Linked DNA regions of Danio rerio. The protein of the gene in region 1 purifies or fractionates together with the protein of each later gene. This does not show direct contact. Links are inferred from orthologs where the notes say so. Each region holds a gene or a part of one and is shown on either strand. Other genes may lie near its edges.

Region 1 (3,973 bases):
AAGATAATGAAGGCCAATCCGGCTCTGTATGTGTTAAGAGAGCGAATCCGCAAGGGTCTGCAACTCTACTCTTCAGAGCCCACTGAGCCTTACCTGTCCTCCCAGAACTATGGAGAGCTCTTCTCAAACCAGATCATCTGGTTTGTAGATGACACCAATGTGTACAGAGTCACCATCCACAAGGCAAGTCAACATTTTAAAGATGTTCCTTGTTGTTTTGATTGTTTTGACCTTGGGTTGTGTGGTAAAATGTCAATTTTATCCTGTTTCAGACCTTTGAAGGTAACTTGACCACCAAACCCATCAATGGAGCCATTTTCATCTTCAACCCCAGAACTGGACAGCTTTTCTTGAAGATCATTCACACTTCTGTATGGGCTGGACAAAAGCGTCTTGGACAGGTCTGTTTATCACTCGTATTTTGTTTACACAGTTGTTTTTTATTTTTTTATTATTATTTTTTTGTACTTTTTTTTACTTATCCGACTGGTTACTGGTTCTGCCTTTGTAGTTGGCTAAGTGGAAGACTGCTGAAGAAGTGGCTGCCCTGATCCGATCGCTGCCTGTTGAAGAGCAGCCCAAACAGATTATTGTGACCAGGAAGGGCATGTTGGATCCTCTTGAGGTTAGGCACTTAACCTTTAGCAACCAAAACGAGTGTTGAAGCTCTTAACTCTTAGGTTAACAACTATCTGTTTTCTCCAGGTGCACTTGCTGGACTTCCCCAACATTGTAATCAAAGGCTCTGAGCTCCAGCTCCCCTTCCAGGCCTGTTTGAAAGTGGAGAAGTTTGGAGACCTCATTCTGAAGGCCACAGAGCCTCAGATGGTCCTGTTCAATCTGTATGACGACTGGCTGAAGACCATCTCCTCTTACACTGTAAATCCAGCTTTTATTCTATAAACTTAATAAATATAAGCTATTCATTAAATTAAATAATCATTGAAGCAAAATTTTGTTGTTTCTGAGAGTTCCACCACTTATGCTACGATGTCTAAAACTAAAATCTGTTTTTGTTGCCTAGGCATTCTCTCGTTTGATTTTGATCCTGAGAGCGCTTCATGTCAACAATGATCGTGCCAAAGTTATTCTGAAACCTGACAAGACCACCATTACCGAGCCCCACCACATCTGGCCCACTCTGACGGATGAGGAGTGGATCAAAGTGGAGGTGCAGCTCAAAGATCTCATCCTGGCTGACTATGGCAAGAAGAACAAGTAAGAAATACAGATTTCCAAGTGCATTCAAAAATATATACTTTGGGATGTTCAAGATTGTAAATTCTCAATCTTCTCCACAGTGTGAATGTGGCATCTTTGACTCAGTCTGAAATCAGGGACATCATCCTGGGAATGGAAATCTCTGCTCCATCCCAGCAGAGACAGCAGATCGCTGAGATTGAGAAGCAGACCAAAGAGCAGTCTCAGCTTACGGCCACTCAGACTCGCACAGTCAACAAACACGGAGATGAGATCATCACCTCCACCACCAGCAACTACGAGACGCAGACCTTCTCTTCCAAAACTGAATGGAGAGTAAGGTACGGAAATGTTTCTTGTCTTTTTGGTCATTAAAGCACAGCTAAAGTTCGCTGTTAAACCGTTTTCTTCATCTCACAGGGCGATCTCTGCTGCAAACTTGCACTTGCGTACCAACCACATCTATGTGTCATCGGATGACATCAAAGAAACGGGCTACACTTACATCCTGCCCAAGAACGTTCTGAAGAAGTTCATCTGCATCTCAGATCTGCGTGCTCAGGTTAGATTAACAGTCTAATTAAAATGTCTTCTCTTATTTTTGCTTAGAATCATTTCAGGGCTGTCATGATATCAGATTTAAACAGTATATGATCTGTGGGAGTCTTGAAAAAATTTTATGAGTAAAACAAATTAGACTTGGAGGAGAAAGTTTCTTTAGTTCAAAGTATGGCAATTCATGAGACTAACACTATTTTAATATATAATTTTATGTGTAATATTGAAAAGCGTCTATTTCTGCATCATAACTTGATAATCTGCCTTTTTTTTTTTAAATAATTATTTGAAATTAAATAAAAAAATTGGTTTTCCACTACCTTTCTTGCATTATTTGTGCTTGTATATTTCCCCCCTTGCAGATTGCAGGTTACCTGTATGGAACCAGCCCTCCAGATAACCCTCAGGTGAAGGAGATCCGCTGTATTGTGATGGTGCCACAGTGGGGTACACATCAGACCGTTCACCTTCCCAACCAACTGCCACAACACGAGTACTTGAAGGTCAGGAATTTACACATGCACATTTGTTGTATTTGCACATCTAATTTGGTGTTATCAGCAGTCTGTGTCCTCCCAGCCTTTTCAAATGCTGCCCTTTTTCTTTTATAGGAAATGGAGCCTCTTGGATGGATCCATACACAGCCCAATGAATCGCCCCAGCTCTCTCCTCAGGATGTCACCACCCATGCAAAGGTCATGGCTGACAACCCATCCTGGGATGGCGAAAAGACTATCATTATCACTTGCAGGTATAGATTAAACACATTAACACAATGTGGCTGTGTTCCTAACTTCCAATTTATAATGTACTGCATTACATATAATATAGTATTGCATGTGAGACTTAAACCTATTGGTTTTGCTTGTCTAGCTTCACCCCTGGTTCCTGCACACTGACGGCCTACAAGCTGACTCCCAGTGGATATGAGTGGGGTCGACAAAACACAGATAAGGGTAATAACCCCAAAGGTTACTTGCCTTCACACTATGAAAGGGTTCAGATGCTTTTGTCTGACCGTTTCCTTGGCTTCTTCATGGTGCCTGGCCAAGTCTCCTGGAACTACAACTTCATGGGTGAGCATAGATTCATTTTTATGATATATATTGAAGTGATACACGTTTGTAAATTGCAGATACCACAGTGCACTTTTGCTAATTTCTCTTTTCTTGTTTTAGGTGTCCGCCATGATCCCAACATGAAGTATGACCTGCAGTTGGCCAATCCGAAAGAGTTCTACCATGAAGTCCACAGACCGTCTCACTTCCTCAATTTTGCTTCTCTGCAGGAGGGTGAAATCTACAATGCTGACCGTGAGGATATGTATGCATAAGTACAAACAGAGACTATTTAAAGTAAAAGCACCCACAGGCTAAAGCAATGCTTTGGTTCTGTTTTGTCCCTCTATACTGTTAGCAGTAATGTAAATGCTTGGAAACTCGAAGCATGTCATCTGTTTTTTGCTTTATCATTAATTGCTTGTCATTGACTTGATTATGCACAAGTCTGAAAGCACATTGTGCTTTGTCTGTTGTTGTGAGATGAATGACTTTTTTGTCTAAAAATATCTGTACCCTTTTTCGGAGTTGTTTGTAGTACATTGTGTTTTTTATAAATCCGGAATAATTTGTCTTTTCCCTGTAGCTATGTTGTGCATCTGTTATGTACACTGTAGTTTGGGTTTAAATAAAGATTACAACTTTTATAAGCTCTGGTTTGTTTCGTAGAGTAAATTATTGGTTTGTTTACTAAATTAACAGTAGCTTTATTATCTAAAGTGCAAGGACACTATGCTTTCAGAGGAAACCAATCTGCATGCATTTGTTACAGTACACTGAACAGCTCAGCACTCAACTTAATATGGCAAAATGTGTTAACATTTAAATGTAATATTAACTGATAAAATAACAGTACTCAAGTTTGGTGGAAAAAAATAATTTAAAGGGGTGGTCTACTGTGTATTTTTAAGGCTTGGTTGTGTTGTAAAAGATGCAAAGCAATGTGTGCTCATGCTTCATTTGTAGAAAGTCATGTTATTTTTTTATATCTTACTTTGATTATATACAGCAAGGCAGCTAACATGAAAATGACAGTCATATTTCCTAGTTCCTCTGAAAGGCCCGCCCTCAAAAGGCTCTGATCGGTCAGCTAACATGTGCTGTGATTTGCGGATCGGCTCGCATCATGCCCCTACAAGCCCACGCCTTGGTGCTGT
Region 2 (3,500 bases), on another chromosome or scaffold:
TGACTTCAGTAAAGGCAAGAGCATGTGCTTTTCTGTTCTGTTACAAGCTTTGCTCAACTGATGATTAGATCTGAGTAAATTAAGTAGTTGATTATTGATGTTCATTGCAGAGTGGAGCAGGGAGTTGGACGAGCTGCGGGCAGCTTTCTCGCGCTCCCTTGAATACCTGAAACAGGACGTAGAAGAGAGTAAGTGTCTTGTCTGTTTTGAAGAGGTGTTAAGCACAGCTGTCTTAGGCATATTTTAATTACGGTCTCGCTTCTTCTCAGGGTTCAGTGAAAGTGGAGATCTGTCCTGCACGCTAATGCAGATCTGGGCGAGGATAGAGGTGAGGAAATGTTATACTGAGGCATCTGTCCGTCCTCCATTAACTAATGTCATTCTGCTGATTACAGTCTGTCCACAGTTATTACAGAGCTGCTTGTGTGTGTGTTTGCTCCAAACAGGCCTTACACTGCAAGAACATGCAGAAGGCTCGAGAGCTGTGGGATAGCATCATGACAAAGGGGAATGCGAAGTACGCCAACATGTGGCTGGAATATTACAACCTGGAAAGGTCAGTCACGCAGACTGATGGATGTTTGATACCAGTTAAAAAAAATACCACTGAATCTACACATTTTAAGCACGAGAGGTGCTGTATAATCCTTCATTTAATCCCCACGATGCTGTCAGCTGTGCAAGCAGCAGCTATATGCAACATTTAACACAGCTCTTGAAAGACTGTTATTGCTATTAAGATGACATGAAAATAATAAGTTATATATCAATATAAATGTGGAGGGGGGCGATGGATCGCGATGCCGGCTGAGCATTGTGAAGTTTGTCGGCCATCGGCGATGGACGATGGCATCGTCTATCGGCACAACCCTATTTCAGTTCTTCCCGTAGGTTTGAAATATACTTGCAGAGGTAGCTGGATTGAAACACACCTTTTAAGCACAGCACATAACTGGTGAACTACATGCAACAAACAAAAATAATGTCATTTTTTCTATGTATTTATTTGTATATATACAATAAATATACAAAAAAAAACATTATATATATATATATATATATATATATATCTCTAAAGTTCCTTTATTGGCATGACGTTTACAGTATTGCCAAAGGATTTTAGATGGCCCTATGTAAAAAAGTATGTAATTTATTAACATCATTAAATTAAGAAAATATACAGCAATAAATAAAAGAAAAAGGAATAAAAATAGACATTATTGCTTTAAATGGAATTAAGTACTAGAATAACTAGTGTAGATTATTTTAATTAGGCAAACTAGTTGATGAGCCATTTCTAATGATGTACAAATATTTTACAATTAGTATATTTTGTTCTGTCCGAGTATATAGTTAAGTCCATCAGAGTCGTTTATTAATGATAAATTATTTAATGTTCCTCTCGCAACTGTTCGTGTGCAGTCAGCAGTGAAAAGATTATGCAAAACGCATTCAAATAACAACAACTTTAGAAAGCAAAAGTAAAACCCGAATCCTGGACATTTTAAAAGATTCAAACTACGGTCAGATGAGAGATTTTCCACTAGTAAATCGATGAATGATGATCGGGAATGTTTGTGGCTTTCTTGGATGCAAAAAAAGTGTAAAAGAATGATGATAATACTATTAGCTGCGTCCCAAATCGCATACTTATGCACTATTCTACGCCATTTTGTAGTATAAATAGTGCAAGTAGTGTGTTCACACTGAAAACTATAAAAATAATAAGTGCACTTTAATTTCCCGGATGATGCACTCATTCAGCCGCTAAAATGAAGTGTGTAATGATGGACACTTCACGCACTCAACGACCGCAGGTTTGCTTACGTAGCGGAAGAGGCGGAGCTATCGCACGCACATGTTGAATAACTTTATTTATTTTGGACGGTGAGAACTAAATTCTTCTACGAGAGTGATTATAGTGCCTCCCGATGGTGAATGCGGCAACACTCACGGCAGGTAATATTTGATAATTCGGTCGTTTATTTCACTGATTTGGCAACCGTGAAACGTCATCAGGGAAACGGTTTGAATTTCCGCTTAGTAAAAAAACATTAGTGCTCCATTTGGGACGCCACTACATACATATACTATCCTGTTGAGTGTGTAAGTGCATAAGTACATAGTGCATGAGTGCATAGTGTATAGTGTACCATTTGGGACGCAGCTATTGTTTATTTGTCACCACAAAATATACTTGGGTGGCCGTTAATATACCTGGGCAGCCCGCCCAAGTAAAGTCTATGTGAGGTAAGCACTGCATTAAAAAAATTAAACCGCTTTTTCATTATAAAGAGCTTATTTAATAACATCTGATCTGACAGTCTATGACAATTGCATTTTATAAAAAAGGTTGCTGGATTATTCAGCAAAAGTTAATCTAGACAAAATCATGAGTTCATAGTATTTTTCTAAAATCTGAATATTTAGTTTGCAGAAATTTTATTATCTTAAATATTCTGTTATCAATACACAATTTTATGGATTTATGGGGGTCAACAGTATAGAGAAGCGCACAGTGTTGGATTTGGATTAGTTCTGTCCTGCGTGCTGCTGAGATTAAAAAGAAGAGATGAAATACAAATAATAGAATATTTTCAAATGATAATTTAAGAGAAAGAGCAAAAAAAAAAAAAAAAAAGCCAGTTGGTATTGAATTACAGTTGAAGTTATTAGTATTAGTAGTTATTATTAGCCCCCCTTTGAATTATTTTTAAATATTTCCCAAATTATGTTTAACAGAGCAAGGAAATTTTCACAGTATGTCTGATAATGTTTTTTCTTCTGGAGAAAGTCTTATTTGTTTTATTTCGGTTAGAATAAAAGGAGTTTTTAATTTTTAAAAAATCATTTTTGGGACAAAATTATTAGCCCCTTTAAGCTAATTTTTTTTCGATAGTCTACAGAACAAACCATCGTTATAGAAAAACTTGCTTAATTACCTTAACCTGCCTAGTTCACCTTATCAACCTAGTTAAGCCTTTAAATGTGACTTTAAGCTGTATAGAAGTGTCTTGAAAAATATCAAGTAAAATATTTACTGTCATCTTGGCAAATATAAAATAAATCAGTTATTAGAAATATGTTTTTAAAACTATTATGCTTAAAAATGTGTTGAAAAAATCTTCCCTCCATTAAACAAAAATTTGAGAAAAAATAAACGAGTGCTAATAATTCAGGGGGGCTAATAATTCTGGCTTCAACTGTACATTGGATCGTTTTCATGAATGGTCTCAGAATTGTGGATTCCACTGTATAACTAAATTTGTTACAACAGTATTTTTTAACAGCAAATTTACAAGGGAGTTATGATGACCTAAAAGTTTGATATTTTGTATTGTCGAGATATTAAAAACAACGTAATTTTCATGTAAAGTTTCAAATAGAAATCAATAATTAAACCTCATCAGTTCTCTTAATTTGTCTGTTTTTTGGTACAGAACATTGTTTTTGTAAGTAAAAAGTGTGAGAGCCACTTCAGTACAGCAAAAATACCTAAA
Region 3 (4,148 bases), on another chromosome or scaffold:
ATCTGTACATAACATACATAAACCTGACTTTACAATGATGCAGCCAGTTATTTCCAATCACCCGCATACCTCTTGGATTTTCTGACTGCGCTCAAAGATGGCCTGAGCATCTTTGTCCCTCTCTGTGTCCAGCTCATAGACAGCAGTGGCCCCCATGTCATCCGGCCCCTCTGGTTTCTGCAACACATAGTCAAATACACTCAATTACAGCCTTTAATGTTTCAATGAGACAGCGCAAAAACTGTCAGACGTTAATAGAAATGTAAAGTCATACGTGGTCATGAATTATTAGGCACCATCAAGCGTTTATATTCATAATTTGCTGTAGCATAAATCATGAAGCTGTACAAATGTTGGGTCAGTCAGACTCACCGCTGAGCGAGTGGACTTGTAAGCGACAGTCACGCTCTTTTCTTCCTTCTCTTCTTCACTTTCACTCGATGAGACAGCTTCCCTCTCCACTTTCTTCGTCTATAAAACGAATAATAAATATAATAATGATGACATCAGTTTAACAGCGGCTAGTTACATAAAACACATGAAATACGGACATACTTTCTGAATCATGGGGTTCACAGCGGCAGATTTCTTCTTTCTGACCACTGCACTGCCCTCATCGCCGCTGCTTTTTTCTGATGATAAAGAAACAAAACACTGAACTGCAGACATGTATTGAGCATAAACATTAATTAAACAGACGGCTTGTTGTAGGGATTATAGTTTCTCAAGTCAAACTCGCTGTCGATTGAGACACTGAAGAAAGAAGCACAACGTACCTTTGTCGCTGTCACTTGCATTTCTTTTCCGTGCGGAAAATTTCTTGTTTGATTTCTTAAAAATAAATGTGCAGGTGGGTTTTTTCGGCTCCTCGGACTCCGCCATCTTTAACTACGTATAAAAACAAACGATGAAGTCATTTTTTGGTTACAGCGCCTCTTGTGTTTGGGAAGAAACGTAGAATGGGAATGGTTTACTGCTGTTGTATTTGATATGAATATATTCCCATTTAACAATTGATAATGTACATATCTTTACTATTATTATTAATCAGTAACTAGCAATATTCAGACAATATTTGGATGCATGCATTGAGCAAAATTAAGGATAAAGACGTTTTAAGGTATTTTATGGTGTACTTAAAGTAAAATTATGATTTAGAGTGAATTTTTTCCCATTATAAAGGTAAAGTCTAGTTAGGATACTGTGGATACGTACATCAACATAGCATAAGTTTTGTGACACTGTATAACAATAAATAATATTTTACAGTACAAATTCCACACTGGCCACGCCCCTATCGTGAATGTACCACTAGACGTAAATGTGTCGTGAAACACCGCAGCGGTTTACGGCCTCGCGCCATTTTAAGAAAGGAACGACTCGTTCAACTGGGTGAGAACACACGTTGGGTATTGTGTGGACCGAAATACACACAAAAATACCGAGTGAATTAAAGAAATTCATGCACGAAGGTCTTCCACAGAAACACGCAAGAGGATTTTGGCCCGAAAATCGGAGATTTCGTTGGAGCCGAATGAAAAACTGAGGTAATTGACTGCAGGAGGCCGTCCGTGGAAATGTAGGCGATCTCGGATATGATCATCATGAGAGAGTTGGTGAATTAGCAGAGCTGACCGTAACCACGACTGAGCTTTGCTTTATTTTTGTGTATTAAAGAGTGCACTGATATTAGTTATTAGATGCGTCTCTTTTTGTTGATGCTACACTAACGTGATCTGATGCTGAAGTTGTAGTTTGTTTAATCATTATGTGGAGAATAAAAGTGTTTGTTTGCACGAAGCTAACCGAGAAAGCTAAGACTGCTAGCAGCTAACTTCACGAGACTCGTTTAAGGGGTGTTTGTTTACTGATCCAGATCTATGTGAAGACGCTGAATTTTCAGTTTGAATCTGTTAGCATGATTTTGTCTGCTTATTTAAATCCACCTTATCTTAAATAACGTCTTATTTACCATTTTCACACAGTAACTGCTTAACTTGCATGAGGTGCTCCTAATTGTTGATTATTTTTTTTATCGTTTGTGTTTTTTCTCTCTTCCAGGTGAACAATGACTCAGTTTCTTCCGCCGAACCTGTTGGCATTGTTTGCCCCGCGGGACCCCATACCGTTCCTGCCTCAACTGGGAAAGCTTCCTCACGAGAAACACCACAACCAGCCCTACTGCGGAATTGCTCCTTTTATCCGGCATTTTGAGGTGCTTTTTGACTTGTTATTTTATGTAGAACGGTTTATTTATCGATTTCTTTGTTACATTGATGTATAACTGTTTTTTCTGCTGTTTATTAGGACCCCAGAGATGCCCCTCCACCCACAAGAGCAGAGACACGGGAGGAGAGACTGGAGAGGAAGGTGAGCGAGACTTGTCTGAATAGACTCTCTGTGGGGAGTTTACTAATGTTTTCTCCTGCTGAATTGCTTTTAGATTGACAGAGCTGCACTCAGTAGTTTTAGTGGGCATATAAGTACAGACAAGACGTGTTTGAAAAGCTTGTTGATACATGTCACATTGAGTTTAACCATAGGTCATCCTTGTCCCAAACTTTGCTTGAGACCACTGCTAACAAAATGTTTTTTTTAATTGAAGCAAAAAAAGTTAGAATATTTACTCTGCCTCCACTTGTTTTAAACCGGTTATATTTTGTGTCATCTGTCCAACACAAAAGTATTAATGTTTTGGAGAATATTAGAAACCACATGCCATTGATTCCTTGGTGTATGTATATATATTTTTTTTCACTGCAATGGATGTTAATCGTGACCATTTTTTGGTATGTTTCTTTTGAGTTCAACAAAAAAAGGAATGCGTTTCCACTGGAGGATGAAATAATTTACATTTAATGTGCACACGATTAACTTTCACTCTATTGTTGAAACTTGGCAATTCATTCACAAATCCCTTGTGTTCTGGACCGTTGAGTCTTGACAGCTATGAACACTTGATAATGCTGAAATATGTTGCATAGCCCTAAGTTTTTAGAAATCATTTGTCAACGCACCATAATCAAATTCTGAAAAATCGATGAAGGAACTTGATAGCAGTCAGCAATAGTAAGATATGCATTGCAGAAGCTTTTGTGTAAATGTCACATGCTCTATTAATCCAGTAATATGATGCAATAAATGACCAATAATAAGAATGTTATCCAATTATTTACATTTGTACAGTATTTAATGTAAAATTATGGTAACTAACTACTTGGTTATTTGTTCATTTCAAATCCAGAGAAGAGAAAAAATGGAGAGGAGGCAAGTTGTGGTTGAAGGAGAGCTGAAATTATGTAAGTGTCTTTAAAATAAAGGCTTTACAGTTGTAAATAAAGTCATTAAAATGTTCTATATTAACCTTATGACCTGTATCTCCACAGGGGACCCACATAATGACGCTAATGCCCAAGGAGATGCGTTTAAGACCCTGTTTGTGGCTCGAATTGTGAGTATTTTTTGGTCTCAAGCATAAGCTTGTCGGCTGACAAAAATCTAAATGTGTAGAGGTTGTTTCTTGAAGACAAATCTTACATGTTTTATTCTATTTATGCAGAATTATGATACCACAGAATCCAAACTGCGGCGAGAGTTTGAGGTCTATGGTCCTATCAAACGGGTAAATTGTGCTGAACGTGTATTATGCATATTAATCTTGGGTCAGTTTGTTTCCACTGTCTTATTCTTGTATGTATCTGCTATTATTAGATCTACATTGTGTACAACAAGAAAACTGGAAAACCAAGAGGCTATGCGTTCATTGAATACGAGCACGAGAGAGACATGCACTGTAAGTAACCAACATATCTTATTCTGCCTTCAGCCCCTTAAATGACCCCAAAGCAAGGTTGCACCAATGGTTTTTGTATTTCCAATAAGAGGCATTTAAGTCTTATCAAAACCCCTTATTAAACACCAAAGGAAGAGTCAGATGCAAAAAGCTCTTAATTGCATCTGATATATTTATAAATTGAGCATTTTTTGAAGCACAGTGGTTGAGGAATTTCACTATTGTCAAACAATAGATTCTTTTCGTTCCCTTAAATAAAATATCTGAAATGCTCATTTTAGAATACACTTTCAGAAGGCATACCTTTTGCATCTGAAGTCTTCGTATTTTGGTTGTACTCTATTTTATCTCTGCA
Region 4 (4,181 bases), on another chromosome or scaffold:
GATTGAGCATTTATGTGGAACTGTTCTACAATCATTATATAATTATGAAATTGAACAATGCGCTAAATTTATGCAACTAAAAGTTTTTCTGTTATAAAATATTTTCAAAAAACTACCAACAATTTGGGTGAAGTTTTATTGTAAAAAGCTTATCGTAAGTTACAGATATTTAGCAGAGACATTTTTTTAAATATAGTACAAAGTATTTACATCTTTCAGTTTACAGAAAGGAAAAACAAACTCCATCATGGTAACTGAATTATTAGTGAAGGATTAATATCGTCGGTTCATTTTCTTAAATTTCTCATAGTGGTAGTCATCTGTGGCCTTCTCGTTATTGGGTCTCTTGCGGAAATTGGGTGGTGAGGCTGGAGACCGAAAAAAATACACCAAATCATATGAACATGAATACATTAAAAACAGCAGGGCATAAAAGCTGAAGAGGTTTTCAATCTGATCTTACCCTCAGGTGCTGGTTTCTCTGTGTCTCCTACACGCAATGGCCTGGCTTTAGGCTCTTCTCTGTTGCGTCTTTGGGGCGCGTTTGAATCCTCATGGTAGACTTGACAAAATAGAACAGATGATGACTTAATCTTTCTTCTTTGGGATAGCAAATGTTTTAAATATGGTTCACATTTTACTGTTTACTTATTTGTTAGGCATAGACAGAGCTGTTGATAAAAGCTTACACTTGAAAACAGATATGGTTAGTGAACAATTTTGAGAAATCAATCATTGGCCTTTTCTTTGTACAGTTTTGTTACAAAATGTATTTTAAGTAAATGCTCTGCTTTTGAAATTTACATTAATTTCCGTTTTTTTTAATATTGAAAGATAAATGTGTAAATTAGGCACCAAATCATCGTATTAGAAAGAATTGTGAAGAACTGGACTAATGTTTGCTGAACAATTCAGCTTTACAATGAACAATTTACAACATTTTTTTATAATCTTAAAAACCTGATTATGAAAAAAAGAAAATGAGTGCAATTACAGACTGCAAAAATATTTCACAAGATTACATTTTTAAAGGGATACTTCTACTCAAAAGTTTTTTAATTCTGCCATCATTTAAATCAGCCTTCACTTGTTCAAAACCAAAACACAAAGAAGCCATTGACGATGATGGATTCCAGCAATCAGTTTTCTTCAAAACATCTTCTTTTGGGTTCAACAAAAGAAAGAAACTAATAACTGTTTAAAACCACATGAAGGAGAACAAATGAAAAAAAATGAACTATCCCTTAAATGTGAGCATAAGAGACTTAAAAACATCTTACTGACAAACGTTTGAACAAACAGTTGTTTGTGTGTACACTTACAGCGATTATGCTGGACGTAATTGACCGCAATGTTTGTGGGAACAAAGGAGGTCCCGCTGTCTTTCTTCTTATTCCTCTGCTCAGCTAGCAGCTTTGCTTTGGCTTCTTCTGTGTTGATGATATTCTTTATCTTTGCGCTGAGAAGAAAGAGAGAAAAGAGGCTTTTAGGTTGACATCAATCATTTGTTTGTTCTGAGCCACCAGTCTAGAGAAAACAATAACTGATGTCCATGAATTAGCTTGTGTCTTTACTCACTCAATCCCCAGATCCACCTCTGGAATTCCGCTCAGCATCTGATTGGACAACATCTCTTCTGTCTTTTTGGCAGAGCTGACGTTGATGTTCTCTGGAAGCTCATACAGGAGGTCCTCTGGATTCTTCACCTTTACCTTCTGCTCCTCTGCCTCCACCATGCCTTTCTTTTTCTTTAACTCTGTCTCAATGTACTTCATCCTGCGTGAAATGAGATGCATGATGGGAGAGGCTTTAAACATAGTGACAAAACCAGCAATGCAGAGAGTATGTGATGTAGAAGCATGCACTTACATGTCAGCATCTTCATCTCTTCTGTTTGTCTCGGCAGAAAAGGATGTACCAAGATTGAGGTCATTTTCATCCACTGTCCTGTAACAAAAGAGGAAGTGTCAAGATGCAAATATAGAGACATCTTGAAATGAAAAGCTAACATGTTTACTTAATTCTTACATGTCTCTGCTTCTGTCTTTCACTTTCTTCATGTCAACAACACCTCCAGTCTTCAGTTTAAATGGGTCATCCTATGACATAAACATGGAGGGACAAAATGTCAAACCTCTATTAGCTCATAGAGAAGAACAAAGTTACACTGCAAGGCTTGTATTGTAGTGCAAAATGTAGTTTGATTAAAATAATAAAACACCTCAAGCTCAGCCTCTAAAGGAAGCTTCTCTCCAACAAGTAACGTTGCAATGCTGGACAAACAGAATGGAAAATAGCATTTATTATTCTCACTTTAATTACACAATGAAAAGAAAGAAAAATGTAAACACCACCAACAGTAACAACCACAAAGCAGCTCATGACCAACCTCACTCCATGCTGCCTTTTTCGCAGACTCTGTAGCTCCTTGGCTTCATCCAGTTTTGACCTGGGTAAACATATAATAAAAGTAACATCTTTAAATAGTTTTTCACATTCAATAGGTTTCTGTCCTCTCTGAATGCATGTACAAACTAAACAAGTCAGCTGCATTAATCTTTTCTGCTCGTTTTACCAAGCGGTTTACAACAGCTGTGTTTACTTTGTTTGGCCTGAATGTGTTGAATATATCTACCTGACTACGAATTTTGTTTCATCATCTTCCTCGTCGGATGAATCCTCTTTCCTTCTTCTAAAATTTTTACCTGGTGGCATGACTTGTTTTTAAAACTCGTCGAATTATTTACTGATAAGCGTTACGTTACCCCTCGTCCGTCTGTACGCAACGGTGGCGGTCTATGTTTAGTGACGGACCTCATTCTCTAGAAACTTCCGCTCGCTGGCATCACATTTGTCGTCTTAACAGTTGATCTCAGATCAGCTTGCCTGTTTTTTGTACAGCCGTTGAACGGCGAAAAGCGGAATGATGAGACTGGTTCTAGATCAGCTGCTTCTATGACACGATACAGAAAAACAAAACAAAAACGGCGTAAATTTAATAATAAACACTCTATACGATAAATGAACGTGTAAAACAAGCAGTATGTGTATTTTATAATCGAAGTAAATAAAAAATTATTTGATCATGCTAAAGAACGAAATGCGCTCATTGGCTGTGGTCAAAGCCGTGACGCACGCTTCTGCTGTATTCAGTATGGATGCTGCTTAGTAGTAACGTTACACTGCTTCCCACCACTGTTACAAACACCTCCGATTGGCCTAAAATGACTATCTATGAGCGATATTTTTGTTTCTGTATGACAGGTAAATATCTGTTTCTGTCTTTCCTTTTGCTAAATCGGACTGTCACTGTTGTTTGATATGATAACATCATGTCGACTCAGCGTATGAATAGTGTCTTGCAGACCGAGTGGAAATATGGCCTGTTTATTCTGCAAGATCGTGATGTTAAACAGCTTTTAGGTGGTTCACCGTGACGTATTTGAGGACTGCTGTGTGTTTATGAACATAATAAACACCGAAGACGAAGAGGAAAAACTATTTGTTTTGTTTTAGATATTATGTTTTAATTCAGATGAATTGTTTGCATTACATTCATATTAACGCGATTGTTTTCTGCGTCGTTTCGGACTTCAGTTGAAGTTAGTTTTCTAGTGAAAATTTGATTCATAGAATCATGTTTTTTTATATCAATTATTGTATATTTCCCTTGCTGTAATGGAGGTGTTGGTACGGGACGAATGTTTTTTTTTCCCATCAACTGACTAGGCGAATGAAACAGCAATTTTGGCCTCTTAACAGTTCTAGGCAGAAACATAACACACATTGAGCAGATATGCTAGATAGATACCATCCTCAATACTCTATAAATATTTTTAAATTTTTATACTTATAAAAAAAATATTATATAATATGGTATATATTTCCGTTAATATCTATTCAATGAGGGCAGATTTTTATTTATAATTCTCACTGGTAATGAGAGTGTAAGGTTCTTATGGGGACAGTTTATCAAATAATTTTGTCATCATTTCATATTAATGAAAGTTTATGGTTTCTGACTTTTTGATTTTTGTTAATTTTGGAGAAAGATTTTTAAAAATCAATGTTATTTACTGTATTGGTGCTGCGCAGTCTCAGAGCTGTACCAGACATTCTTAAAGGGTTTGTTTACCCCAGAAATAAAATAAAAAGAAAGGATTATTATTCAACCTCATGTT
Region 5 (4,082 bases), on another chromosome or scaffold:
GTATGTAAACATTCGAGCACAACTGTAGACGTAATATACAGTTGAAGTCAGTTGAATTATTAGCCCCCTTGTTTATTTTTTCCCTAATTTCTGTTTAACGGAGAGCAGATTTCTTTTCAACACATTTCTAAACATAATAGTTTTTGCTAACTCATTTCTAATAACTGATTTATTTAATTAATCATGATGACAGGTAAATAATATTTTATTAGATAATTTTCAAGATACTACTATACAGCTTAAAGTGACATTTAAAGACTTAATTAGGTTAATTAGGTTAACTAGGCAGGTCAGGGTAATTAGGCAAGTTATTGTGTAATGATCTGTAGACAAAAATATAGCTTCATGGGGCTAATAATATTGACCTTAAATTTTATTTTATTTTTTTATTTATTTTATAAAAACTGCTTTTATTCTAGCCAAAATAAAACAAATAAGACTTTTTCCAGAAGACAAAATATTATCAGACATAATGTGAAAATTTCCTTGCTCTGTTAAACATCATTTGGGAAATATTTAAAAAAGAAAAAAAATCAAAGGGGGCTAATAATTCTGACTTCAATTGTACGTTATATGTTTTTCGTCTGTGTGCACGCACAGACTTATTTTGGTAAACAAATAAATAACAACTCTTTACGGTTATTTCATACACAATAACAAGCAATACATAATTAACAAATTAATAAAAATGGACATTCACTTACATTAAAGATAGGTCGGACTATAAAAAAATCTAACAGTGAGCGAATAAAGTTAAATAACATAACGTTACATGTAACTTTACTTTGAGCCTCGTCACTAACCTTTATAAAAACAAATAAACATTCACACACATTGAAGAAAATTCGGTTTAACAATAAACAGATCTAACAGTAAACAAATAAATAACAAACGTTTAAGGTATTTAATTGAGGTAAGTTAACGTTATTAATGTAAAATGTTGAGTTTTGAACTCAGTCACTAGCCAATAATAGGCAAAAATATTTTAAAACAACAAGCATTCACTTACATTGACAAAAAGTCGATACACAAGCAACATAAAACAATTAAACAGGTATTTTTGGTGTATAACAATAAAAAACTGAGTTTTAACAGCCTCAAACTGCTGACCTTTTATTTATTGATAACGTTAACCGCTAGCAAGCGTCCTGTCACCATGGTGAGATGCTCCGTGACGTAGATGCAGGCAAAGGTCACAGCGCGTCACGGCAGGCGCGACACACACGGCACTGAAACGTCGCTAACCTTACAGGTTTTAGCGGGCTTTCGAAATCTAAAACACAAGAACATACGTCTAATTTATTTTTAATAAAGTGTCAGGAGCGTAATAATCATGGCGTCCACCGCGGCGGGCAAACAGAGAATCCCGAAAGTGGCGAAGGTAAAACCTATATGATGTTTTTGTGAGTTAGCATTAGCATGTAAACAACGTGAAGTCGTGCTGACGTTACTTAATAATTAACTACTGTATATAAATGTGGTTAGTGGAGTTAAGCTTATTTTTTTATAATGTATTTGTGTTTGTGTTCAGGTGAAGAATAAACCCCTGTAAGTTAGCATTAGCATGTAAACAACATGTAGTTCTGCTAACGTTACTTTATAATTAGTTAACTGATGTATAATGTGTATACATGTAATCAGTTGAGTTAAAGGTTGTCTTGCTTTGTAATGGTTTTGTATTAATGCTCATGTGAAGAATAAAGCTGTGAGTTAGCATTAGCTTGTAAACAACGTGAACTTGTGCCACTCTGAAAATAACAACTGTATAATGTATAGAACTATAACCAGATGGGTTAAAGATTGTCTTGTTTTGTAATGGTTTTGTGTTTGTGTTCAGGTGAAGAATAAAGCCCCTGCAGAGGTGCAGATCACCGCCGAGCAGCTGCTCAGAGAGGCCAAAGAGAGAGAGCTCGAGCTGCTGCCACCGCCACCCAAACAGAAGATCACCGATAAAGAAGAGCTCAATGACTACAAACTGAAAAAGAGAAAGGTATGAAATGTTGTATCACCATGTAGTATACCATGGTGTCACTATATGCATATGTCATAAAGTAGTACTAAATTACTGTGCATGTACTGAAAGCTTGGTTCTGTCATGGCATATGCCTCAAAAATATACAGTAGTGTCACAATTGCTTATAGAATGTGCGCAGTGCTATCATGATGTTCAGAAAATATGGTATTGATATGGTGTGTAGATTATAAAAGATGATATCGCTATGGTTTAAATGTATTATTTTATTATGGTAAACCTCTAGAAAACATGGGCATTATCACAGTGCATATTCAGAAAACTCAGAGGATATGCAATGTCTTGTTGGGTTTATAGTTGACCAGAAGACAGTTTATATATGTATATAAAGTGGAAGTCTGCCTGTGTTTTATGGACTGCCGCTGTATGAACATTTCAAGAACGTATAAAGCATCCAGGTGTAACGCTTCTCTTCCTGAAGACGCAAATCACTCAGGCGGACACAGAGAACTGCGTTCTGCGTTGTTTATTCTGTAACAGAAATATACATCCTCTGGCAACAGTATGCATTTAAACATGCATCGCCTTTCTGCATTCAGCAACCATTTTCTGCTGTGTTGCCACAAAGTCATTTTAACAAAACATTATTTATTTACAAAAGGTTAACATACCTGTAACAGAAATATACATCATCTGGCAACAGTATGCATTTAAACATGCATCTAAAAAAACCAAACAAATAGTAAGAAATCACCCTTGCACATATTAATGTCATCATTCCAGCTACACCTAGCATGAGCAAATTAAACCACACAAAGTTTGTCACACACGGCAATCACTCGACAGATTTGATCTAAAACATCACTTAATGTTCATATTGGGCTTGTATGTGTTATTAATATGTGTTAAAATACAAAATTTGTCACATTTAGCTGGAGCACATTTTACCTACCGCCTTTCTGCATTCTGCAACCATTTTCTGCTGTAGGCGGGGTTTTGCAGGTGAAAGGTGAAAGAAACAATTACACACTGTTGCCACAAGAGGTCTCTCAACAGCCACAAAATAAACAAAATAACCCATTTTGGTGAAAGACAATTAAACATTATTTTAACCCTGTTACACAGGCACAAGAAATTAGACCATTTGTACCTTTAATAAAGATACATTTTTAAAATAATTTTTACAATAAAGAAGATGCAGTGTTTTATTTACATTTGATTTTTTTGCAATTCCTGTACCTGTTTGCTGTTTGACAAATTCATAAAGTAACAATACTTGTAATTTTTTGTTATTTTTTTATGCATGATTCAATCCTTTATTGCAATCAGTCTGAATTAATAAACACTTCCCAAATAGAGTTAAGGCATCTGATGGACCTATATTCATTTTGCATTATTTATCACAGAAAAACAAAATATGTCAATGTTTGATTTATTTTTCAATATCTTGCACCCCTAATGTTCATGCTTTGAATATGCTATGTCAACAAGGTACATCTGGTCACAACATGATGTTACCAGTGTAAAGGTTTTGTCAATTTGATGTTTCGCATTTGATGTTCGTTTCTATAAAACTCCTAGTATACATGTACTAAACTCAATAACACATGGTATTATTGTGATACATACTTTAAAAGCTTCATATACATAGTGCATCTGCAGAAAATATGTCATCAGTATATTATGTGTCAAAAAGAATAAAATTATATTAATATCTTAAAGTTAAAATGCCACTGTCAGTGGTATATAATTAGGGGTGCACCGATATGGGTTTTTTAGTGTATATCGATAACTAATAACTCTTCAGACTTGGAGGCTGATAGTCGATATATATAGGTCGATAATTATAAATGTTTAAAAATGTTATATTTTTAAACTTAATAAAAGATTGAACTGCTCTTATGAACTGAAAAGTCTACTCAAACCAAAAAAGCTATAATTTCAAAATTGCAAGGTGGTTATATAGACCTATATTCACGATTTCACATAAATCAGCATGCAAGAAAATTAATTATTTCCTTTTCTTCATAGCAAATTAACATGCAACTTCACTGTTGCATAAAAATAATAGGTTAAATAACAAAACAGGATTTAATCAACAAGCAAGTTA
Region 6 (3,500 bases), on another chromosome or scaffold:
CTCTCTCTCTCTCTCTCTCTCTCTCTCTATATATATATATATATATATATATATATATTAGGGATGTAACGGTATCAGAATTTCATGATACGGTAATACCTCGGTATCAATGTCACGGTACGGTATTTATTGAATCATTTACAGGAAAAAACAAAACTTATGAAAATACTCCAAAAAAGTGCCAAAAGTGTCAATGACATACAAATTAGTCATCTATCTGTAAGCTTTGAAACAGGAACTTCAATTTTAATAACAAAAAATTATTAAACCATGTAAAAAAATAAAGTTTCAATTTAGTATTGTTGAAAACTCATCACATTCAACATTTAATCACTCACTCACTTAGATAGAGATGGGTTTTAAGGAAAATTATCATATAAATATAATCTGGTAAAAGCTGTTATCTCTGGGCATTTACAATGTCCCCTGCAACAGAAAAAACCCCTCTCATTTGGGACTGAGGTTTCTGGGACAGAGAGATATGACTTGGCCCAGGTTGACAGCAGTGGTTAACGTTGTGCATTGTCTTTTCCCCACTTGAGAGGACAAGGCAAGCCATGAGATAGATAGAGGTCTCATGTCTGTATCAATCTGAACAGTGTGCTGTGTCACACCCTCTGTCCCGCCCTTCAGTAGGCGCGCGACAACACAGCTGATCAGAACGCGCCCAACAACACCGCTATTCAGTATGCGCGCGACAACACAGCTGATCAGAACGCACGCGACAACACCGCTATTCAGTACGCGTGCGGCGACAACACCCGCTTCAGGTTCGATCATTTCCAGCTCTTTTTGATGCCCGCTTCTAGCAGCACACTCCATTTCCGCATTACTGTATCTGTAGCGACAACAGACCGCAAGGGCTGATGGGAATTGTAGTTTCCGCTACCTCCCGTTCGCTTCATTCGCCTGAGCAAATTTTCTCAGAAGACCTATAGTTTTACCGAGTCATGCGACTACGGTAATATCGAAAAAAATGAATATTGTGGTATGACGGTATTTACAATACCGTTACATCCCTAATATATATATATATATATATATATATATATATATATATATATATATATATATATATATATACACACACACACACACACACACACACACACACACACACGCGCACACACACACACGCGAACACACGCGCGCGCACACACACACACACACACACACACACACACAGTTGAAGTCAAAATTATTAGCCCCCCTGAATTATTAGACCGCTTGTTTAGTTTTTACCCAATTTCTGTTAAATGGAGAGAAGATTTTTTTTTCAACACATTTCTAAACATAATAGTTTTAATAACTCATCTCTAATAACTGTTTTCTTTTATCTTTACCATGATGACTGTAAAAAAAAAATTTGACTAGATATTTTTCAAGACACTTCCATACAGCTTAAAGTGACATTTAAAGGCTTAACTGGGTTAATTAAGTTAACTAGGCAGGTTAGAGTAATTTTGCAAGTTATTGTATAATTATGGTTTGTTCTGTATATTATCAAGAAAAAATATAGCTTAAAGGGGCTAAAAATTTTGTTTTTAAAAATATTTATTTTTATTCTAGCCACAATAAAACAAATTATCAGACATACTGTAAAAATGTCTTGCTCTGTTAAACATCCTTTGTAAAATATTTAAAAAAAGAAAAAAATTCTCACTTCAACTGTGTGTATATATGCATGTATATATGTATGTATATATATATTTATTTATTTATTTTTTTTTACTTGATTTGTTTTCTGCCTTTTTCCCCTCATTTGTTCTTTCCGTTTGTTGTTCAGTCTTAGTTTTCGTCCTCTAACCTTTTTTTCCATCTATCTTTTTTTTTTCTTTTCCTTGACTTTGTTCATCATTCTTCCTTCCTGGATTTCTTTCTTCATGTTTCCTCCCTTCTCTCTTTCTTTTCCTTCTTAGTTTCTCTTCCATATTCTTCCATCTCTCCCCACCCTTTTACATTGTTCTTCGTTTATTTAACCTTTCTCCCATCCTTCCTTCATTATTCCTCCATTGGTCTTCCTTTTTCCTCATTCTCCATTCCTTCTCCCAAGCAGTTTCTCCGTGGGAATTCAATCCAGTCATATCCTAGAAACAGATATAGGCGATAGATATGTTTATTTCTTTACAGTGCAACCATGTGGAAGTCAGAATTATTCTACATTCAAAGACGTGCTATGCATTCTATGACCATTTTATGTGAATGTTGAATTGTAAATGCTGCCTTCTAAACACTGCTCCCTCCTCTGTTTCTCTAGTGTGTAAATGTGACGAGCTGTTCAGCAGTAATGCACACAGAAACCTGGCCATTCAGTTCCACCTGGAGTGCAGTTATATCTGCCTGACCTACTATGAGTATCACAAGGCCAAAGAACATCTGCAGACGGCTCGTGATCTGTCAGGACTCGATGTTAACATGACAGGTAGGCAGTATAACTTGAAGAAAAATGATTGTACTTTGCTGATGGATAAATGGTGGTTCATAGCGAAAGTAATTGACATATGCAATGAATGAATGAGGGATGTATTACCCTGCAGTGCGAATGAGGAAACACTGATGTAATGCATTAAGGATTAAATAATTTTCTGATTTTTCTCTCAGGTGCTCTAGGGAAGCGAACTCGTTTTCAGGAGAACTTTTTGGCTCAGCTCATCTTAGATGTAAAGCGAAAGGACAACTCGCCCTTTTACAACTCAGAGAGTCCCTCCAGTACACCAACACCTAAAGAGCTCCTACCAAAGGTACACAGAGAGTTAAAACTAATTTTAATTATATACAATTAAAATGTGTGTGTGGATGTTTCCCAGAGATGGGTTGCGGCTGGAAGGGCATCCGCTGCGTAAAAACTTGCTGGATAAGTTGGCGGTTCATTCCGCTGTGGTGAGCCCAGATTAATAAAGGGACTAAGCCGACAAGAAAATGAATGAATGAATGAAAATGACCAAAATGTAACGTGATAATTGAAAATCATTGGAGGGGAAATAAATAATATATTTAAAATCTCTGAACATAACAAGAAAATTAAACAATGATAAGGTTACTATAATAGTGTATTTATAGTGGCAGAAATAGGGCACTTTCTCTAATAATAAAAATATAGCACTTAAATCATTTCATTTTTAACAATCAATTAAATTACGCTGCGGTTTTATATAAAAAGTTGATAATGATATAAAATATACAAAATTTTGATGGTAAAATATAACCCTTTAACCAATGGCTGTTATTTGTTTCAGTATTCAAACATCAAATAACGAATGCAGCAATTGAAATAAAAAACAAATGTGAAGCAACACATATATAGCAGGAAATGAAGCTAAAAAGGACTATTATATTTTTGCAAAATGCTGATTTTCTATCTTTGTATTTTTATCATTTTATTTTTGTTATTTTAATTTTTTTTGCCTTAATAATAAACCAACAAGCTACAGATAAATTCCTGCTTGACTATTTAGAATATATTTTGCGCAGCTGCCCAGTATAAAGATCACCGAGAACAA
Region 7 (3,500 bases), on another chromosome or scaffold:
CTCCATTTACTGAAAAAGGAAATAGTCATCATTATCAATTTCTGTCCAATAAACTGTTTTATAGCTTGGAATATCTAGATTTAAAGACATTTTTTAAGTATTCCACAAATTATATAATATTTAGACATTTGAGTCTAGAAATAAACTTTAAAAATTAGGATTTTTTGAAGAGTTGTTAAATGAGGAGTCCTGTTAAACATTATTGCAGTACTTTCTTTGGCTAATTTAAAATACACGTGCAAGTATCAATCAAAACACTATTGTGCAGTTATGAATCTGCACAAAGTTGCCAATTCAAAATGCTGTGAAATATTTTGGATTAAAAAAAAAAAAGATTTCTGACACTGGATAATGGCATGTAGTTAAATGTTAGTAATTACAAATGTAAGTGTATTCATATAAAGGGTTAAAGCAATAGTTTACTCCAAAATTACAATTCTGTCGTCATTTACTCACCCTTCACTTGCCACAAACATGTTTGAGTTTCTTTCGTCTGTTAAGAAGACAATATTGTGAAACATTTTGGAAACCTGTAACCATTGACTTCCATAGTATTTGTTTTACCAACTGGTTCCATGTTTTGAACATTCTTCAAAATATATTCTTTTGTGTTTACTAGAAGTTTGGAAGTTGAATGTGAGTAAATGGTAAGTTTACTATTTATTTTGGGAAGAACTGCCTCTTTAAGAGGACAACAATAAAATATGTCCATCTTTAAAACATGTATTTTGTTAAAGTAAAGTGTACTGTCATAAAAGACTCATCTGTCAGGGATTTATTGTGCCATCAAAAACCATTTTGATGGTCATTGTTTAAGTGGATATTATGGTATTGAAGCCCTTTTAGGTTTTCCCCAAGCTGCCTTGTTGGAAACCGCTCTTTAAATGCCATACAAAAATACTTTTTTCAAAATGCACTGAAACAAACTAGTGTTGAAAAAAAAAAAACTGCTTTCATTCTGAAAATGTTTCATTCAGACTGTTTCTTGCCATTTCTTCTGTGATTATATGTGATATTTTCTCGACACCAGTTTTTCAGTCTGTGTGGTTTTTGTAAATGTTATATTTGTTATGTTGTTAAAGGTATCAGATTGAAGTGAATCGAGTCCCTGCTGGTAACTGGGTGTTAATTGAGGGCTGTGACCAGCCGATTGTTAAAACAGCCACAATCACAGAGCCCCGTGGAAATGAAGAGGTGGGAAACAGAGACGTGCATTTGAAACAGCAGTCTTCATTAATAAGGCTTTTAAAACTCACTGTGCTTTATGTTGTTGCGAGCAGGCACAGATCTTCAGGCCACTCAAGTTTAACACCGCATCAGTTATAAAAATTGCTGTGGAGCCTGTCAATCCTTCAGAATTGCCCAAGATGTTGGATGGACTCCGAAAAGTTAACAAAAGTTATCCTTCACTCACAACAAAGGTAACACGCTCTTTTGCTGCCGGTATTGTTTAAAAGCTGTATTTCTGTTATGGTCAAATCAAATGCTACAAAGTAGTTTGCTTTATTTTTTTACAATTATTATAGATGTTTAAGGCTGTAAAAACCCTCACTACACACTTTATGCAATTTTCTCAGATAAACATCGACGTTTTTCCTGCAGTCACTGATCCACAAAACTAAAGCAGACTCCATCTTTACCATGGCCCTGTTGCAAACAGTTTTTAAAAGGGGTTGTATCTTTGTTGAAATCTCATTGCTGCTGTCGTCCTTATGTTATTTCCTTCCTTCTTTATGTAAAAGGCGTCATGCAGCCACATAACTTCTGCCATAGCATGTTCAGAAGTCCAACAGTGCGGAAAATTTCTGCGACATATTTCTGCGACTCCCCGACGTTTGTTGGGGAGAAAACTTGTAAACAGACAGTCCAGCACTTCAGCGTCACACTGCTAGTGATCAAAGATTCATGTAAATTTGGCAAGCTGAATGCATTCTGTACTGTACAGGAGTCTCGGCACTTAGGAGATTGATTGACAGTGATCTACAGCCAATCAGAACGCAGAACACTATGCACTTTAAAAAAAAAAAGCATGTCAAATTGCTTGAAAAATTATCCGCGAAACTGCGAGACCACGAAAGTGAACCGCGTTATAGCCAGGGACCACTGTATTAGTATTTGTCCATTTTTACGGAGTATTTAACATGCTCTTATGCAAGAAAAATTACAGATGTAAGTCTGACAATAACGTATTGTATTAGTACTTTGTTAGTGTAGTTAAATGCATAACTGAATGTTTTTTTTCTTTATTTGTTTGTTATGAATGTGTGTTTAGGTGGAGGAGTCAGGTGAACACGTGATTCTTGGCACAGGTGAGCTGTATCTGGACTGTGTAATGCACGACCTGCGGAAAATGTACTCTGAAATTGATATCAAGGTGCTCTTTTTTGCTTTAATAGTTTTACGGTCCTCATTTCTGCATGTATTTCTTTTTCCTTTTATGTGATTTTTTCTCTCTTTGTTTTCTCCCTATAGGTAGCTGATCCTGTGGTGACCTTTTGTGAGACTGTCGTGGAAACTTCTTCTTTGAAGTGTTTTGCTGAAACGCCCAATAAAAAGTGAGAAACAAGCTTCCTTTATTTCAGCATTCTGATTTAGTATTGACTGGAAGGAAAACCTTCAAATAAAATTACACAAGTGACCTTTTTTTTAACTGAGATTTGTACATCAATTGAAAGGTGTATGAATAATTGTTAGGATAGAGCAATGTTTGTCAGAGTTTGAACTTTTGAAAATCTGGAAAGCAATGGTTTAAAAATAAATCTAAATACTGAGCAGTTTGCAGATAACTGTGTATATGAATATTTAGCAATCTCACTTTAAGTTTTGATTTATTTACAGTAGGAAATTTACCAAATATTTTTTATGGAACTAATTTTTATTTAATATTCAAATGATTTTTGGCATTAAAGACAATAGTAAAAAAAACTTATTGACCCATACAGTGTATTTCTGTCTATTGGCCAAAAATATTCCCATGCAACATTAGGTTTTGTCATCCAGAGTCATATTTGAAGCTCTGAATCAGCTGAACCAATTGCTTTACAAAATTATTCACTGTTTCAAAGCACTAAAAACACCACAAGCTTTTACAAATTACATGCTTTGAAAGTGAAATATATCAAATAAAATTAACAAATCATAAAATAACGTCAATACAAAGTATCTTTATAATAATCTTTTGATTTTTATGGCTCATTTGTTTAATGGCGGTATTACGTAAACAGGACTAGTGGCTATAATTATTATTAGTCTCTGTAATTCCACAAGTATATGATTATACATTTATAAATCTATAAAACCAACCCAAAAACAAGTTAAAAACTACAGCCCTTGGTTCAAATGATTGACGCCACTCACTTGAAAAGCCAATTAAATTGGAAACAGTCTTTATTTGCTGAAATCAACAGTTTGCAACTGTTTTAAAGCTTCACAAAGCAGTGTCTGTGTGTGTTTTGCAGGAATAAAATCACCATGATTGCTGAGCCATTGGAGAAGGGTCT

What was found.
Region 2: the proteins of prpf8 (region 1) and sart3 purify together in Homo sapiens (affinity purification with mass spectrometry; 4 studies listed by BioGRID, with this or other methods). This does not show direct contact. The link is inferred for Danio rerio from reciprocal best matches to the Homo sapiens genes PRPF8 and SART3.
Region 3: the proteins of prpf8 (region 1) and snrnp70 fractionate together in Homo sapiens (co-fractionation; 3 studies listed by BioGRID, with this or other methods). This does not show direct contact. The link is inferred for Danio rerio from reciprocal best matches to the Homo sapiens genes PRPF8 and SNRNP70.
Region 4: the proteins of prpf8 (region 1) and zgc:103692 purify together in Homo sapiens (affinity purification with mass spectrometry; 4 studies listed by BioGRID and IntAct, with this or other methods). This does not show direct contact. The link is inferred for Danio rerio from reciprocal best matches to the Homo sapiens genes PRPF8 and C9orf78.
Region 5: the proteins of prpf8 (region 1) and crnkl1 fractionate together in Homo sapiens (co-fractionation; 3 studies listed by BioGRID, with this or other methods). This does not show direct contact. The link is inferred for Danio rerio from reciprocal best matches to the Homo sapiens genes PRPF8 and CRNKL1.
Region 6: the proteins of prpf8 (region 1) and ttc27 purify together in Homo sapiens (affinity purification with mass spectrometry; 3 studies listed by BioGRID and IntAct, with this or other methods). This does not show direct contact. The link is inferred for Danio rerio from reciprocal best matches to the Homo sapiens genes PRPF8 and TTC27.
Region 7: the proteins of prpf8 (region 1) and eftud2 purify together in Homo sapiens (affinity purification with mass spectrometry; 9 studies listed by BioGRID and IntAct, with this or other methods). This does not show direct contact. The link is inferred for Danio rerio from reciprocal best matches to the Homo sapiens genes PRPF8 and EFTUD2.

What each region holds. Positions count from the first base shown.
Region 1 is NC_133190.1:30,754,849-30,758,821, reverse strand, and holds the end of prpf8 (pre-mRNA-processing-splicing factor 8), read left to right. Parts: coding exon 1-183; intron 184-272; coding exon 273-401; intron 402-511; coding exon 512-625; intron 626-705; coding exon 706-879; intron 880-1,024; coding exon 1,025-1,218; intron 1,219-1,301; coding exon 1,302-1,541; intron 1,542-1,620; coding exon 1,621-1,762; intron 1,763-2,120; coding exon 2,121-2,261; intron 2,262-2,369; coding exon 2,370-2,509; intron 2,510-2,631; coding exon 2,632-2,834; intron 2,835-2,936; coding exon 2,937-3,091; 3' UTR 3,092-3,473; downstream 3,474-3,973. UniProt on the Homo sapiens protein: Plays a role in pre-mRNA splicing as core component of precatalytic, catalytic and postcatalytic spliceosomal complexes, both of the predominant U2-type spliceosome and the minor U12-type spliceosome.
Region 2 is NC_133180.1:21,195,851-21,199,350, forward strand, and holds part of sart3 (squamous cell carcinoma antigen recognized by T-cells 3), read left to right. Parts: coding exon 1-24; intron 25-110; coding exon of another isoform or gene 111-120; coding exon 121-188; intron 189-269; coding exon 270-328; intron 329-446; coding exon 447-556; intron 557-3,500. UniProt on the Homo sapiens protein: U6 snRNP-binding protein that functions as a recycling factor of the splicing machinery. Promotes the initial reassembly of U4 and U6 snRNPs following their ejection from the spliceosome during its maturation.
Region 3 is NC_133178.1:30,714,563-30,718,710, forward strand, and holds the start of snrnp70 (U1 small nuclear ribonucleoprotein 70 kDa), read left to right. Parts: upstream 1-1,348; 5' UTR 1,349-1,547; intron 1,548-2,061; 5' UTR 2,062-2,068; coding exon 2,069-2,215; intron 2,216-2,307; coding exon 2,308-2,370; intron 2,371-3,244; coding exon 3,245-3,299; intron 3,300-3,386; coding exon 3,387-3,451; intron 3,452-3,559; coding exon 3,560-3,622; intron 3,623-3,711; coding exon 3,712-3,793; intron 3,794-4,148. Other genes in the region: E3 ubiquitin-protein ligase RNF113A, read right to left, coding at 70-177, 373-471, 556-632, 777-882. UniProt on the Homo sapiens protein: Component of the spliceosomal U1 snRNP, which is essential for recognition of the pre-mRNA 5' splice-site and the subsequent assembly of the spliceosome. SNRNP70 binds to the loop I region of U1-snRNA.
Region 4 is NC_133180.1:33,917,012-33,921,192, forward strand, and holds zgc:103692 (telomere length and silencing protein 1 homolog), read right to left. Parts: upstream 2,801-4,181; 5' UTR 2,716-2,800; coding exon 2,636-2,715; intron 2,450-2,635; coding exon 2,390-2,449; intron 2,274-2,389; coding exon 2,222-2,273; intron 2,100-2,221; coding exon 2,029-2,099; intron 1,948-2,028; coding exon 1,870-1,947; intron 1,777-1,869; coding exon 1,579-1,776; intron 1,460-1,578; coding exon 1,323-1,459; intron 563-1,322; coding exon 464-562; intron 369-463; coding exon 274-368; 3' UTR 123-273; downstream 1-122. UniProt on the Homo sapiens protein: Plays a role in pre-mRNA splicing by promoting usage of the upstream 3'-splice site at alternative NAGNAG splice sites; these are sites featuring alternative acceptor motifs separated by only a few nucleotides. May also modulate exon inclusion events.
Region 5 is NC_133195.1:52,275,093-52,279,174, forward strand, and holds the start of crnkl1 (crooked neck-like protein 1), read left to right. Parts: upstream 1-1,282; 5' UTR 1,283-1,333; coding exon 1,334-1,381; exon of another isoform or gene 1,382-1,837; coding exon 1,838-1,990; exon of another isoform or gene 1,991-2,694; intron 2,695-2,924; exon of another isoform or gene 2,925-2,956; intron 2,957-4,082. UniProt on the Homo sapiens protein: Involved in pre-mRNA splicing process. As a component of the minor spliceosome, involved in the splicing of U12-type introns in pre-mRNAs.
Region 6 is NC_133192.1:24,158,036-24,161,535, forward strand, and holds part of ttc27 (tetratricopeptide repeat protein 27), read left to right. Parts: intron 1-2,257; coding exon 2,258-2,422; intron 2,423-2,601; coding exon 2,602-2,741; intron 2,742-3,500.
Region 7 is NC_133178.1:15,069,821-15,073,320, reverse strand, and holds part of eftud2 (116 kDa U5 small nuclear ribonucleoprotein component), read left to right. Parts: intron 1-1,082; coding exon 1,083-1,194; intron 1,195-1,280; coding exon 1,281-1,421; intron 1,422-2,272; coding exon 2,273-2,374; intron 2,375-2,472; coding exon 2,473-2,555; intron 2,556-3,458; coding exon 3,459-3,500. UniProt on the Homo sapiens protein: Required for pre-mRNA splicing as component of the spliceosome, including pre-catalytic, catalytic and post-catalytic spliceosomal complexes. Component of the U5 snRNP and the U4/U6-U5 tri-snRNP complex, a building block of the spliceosome.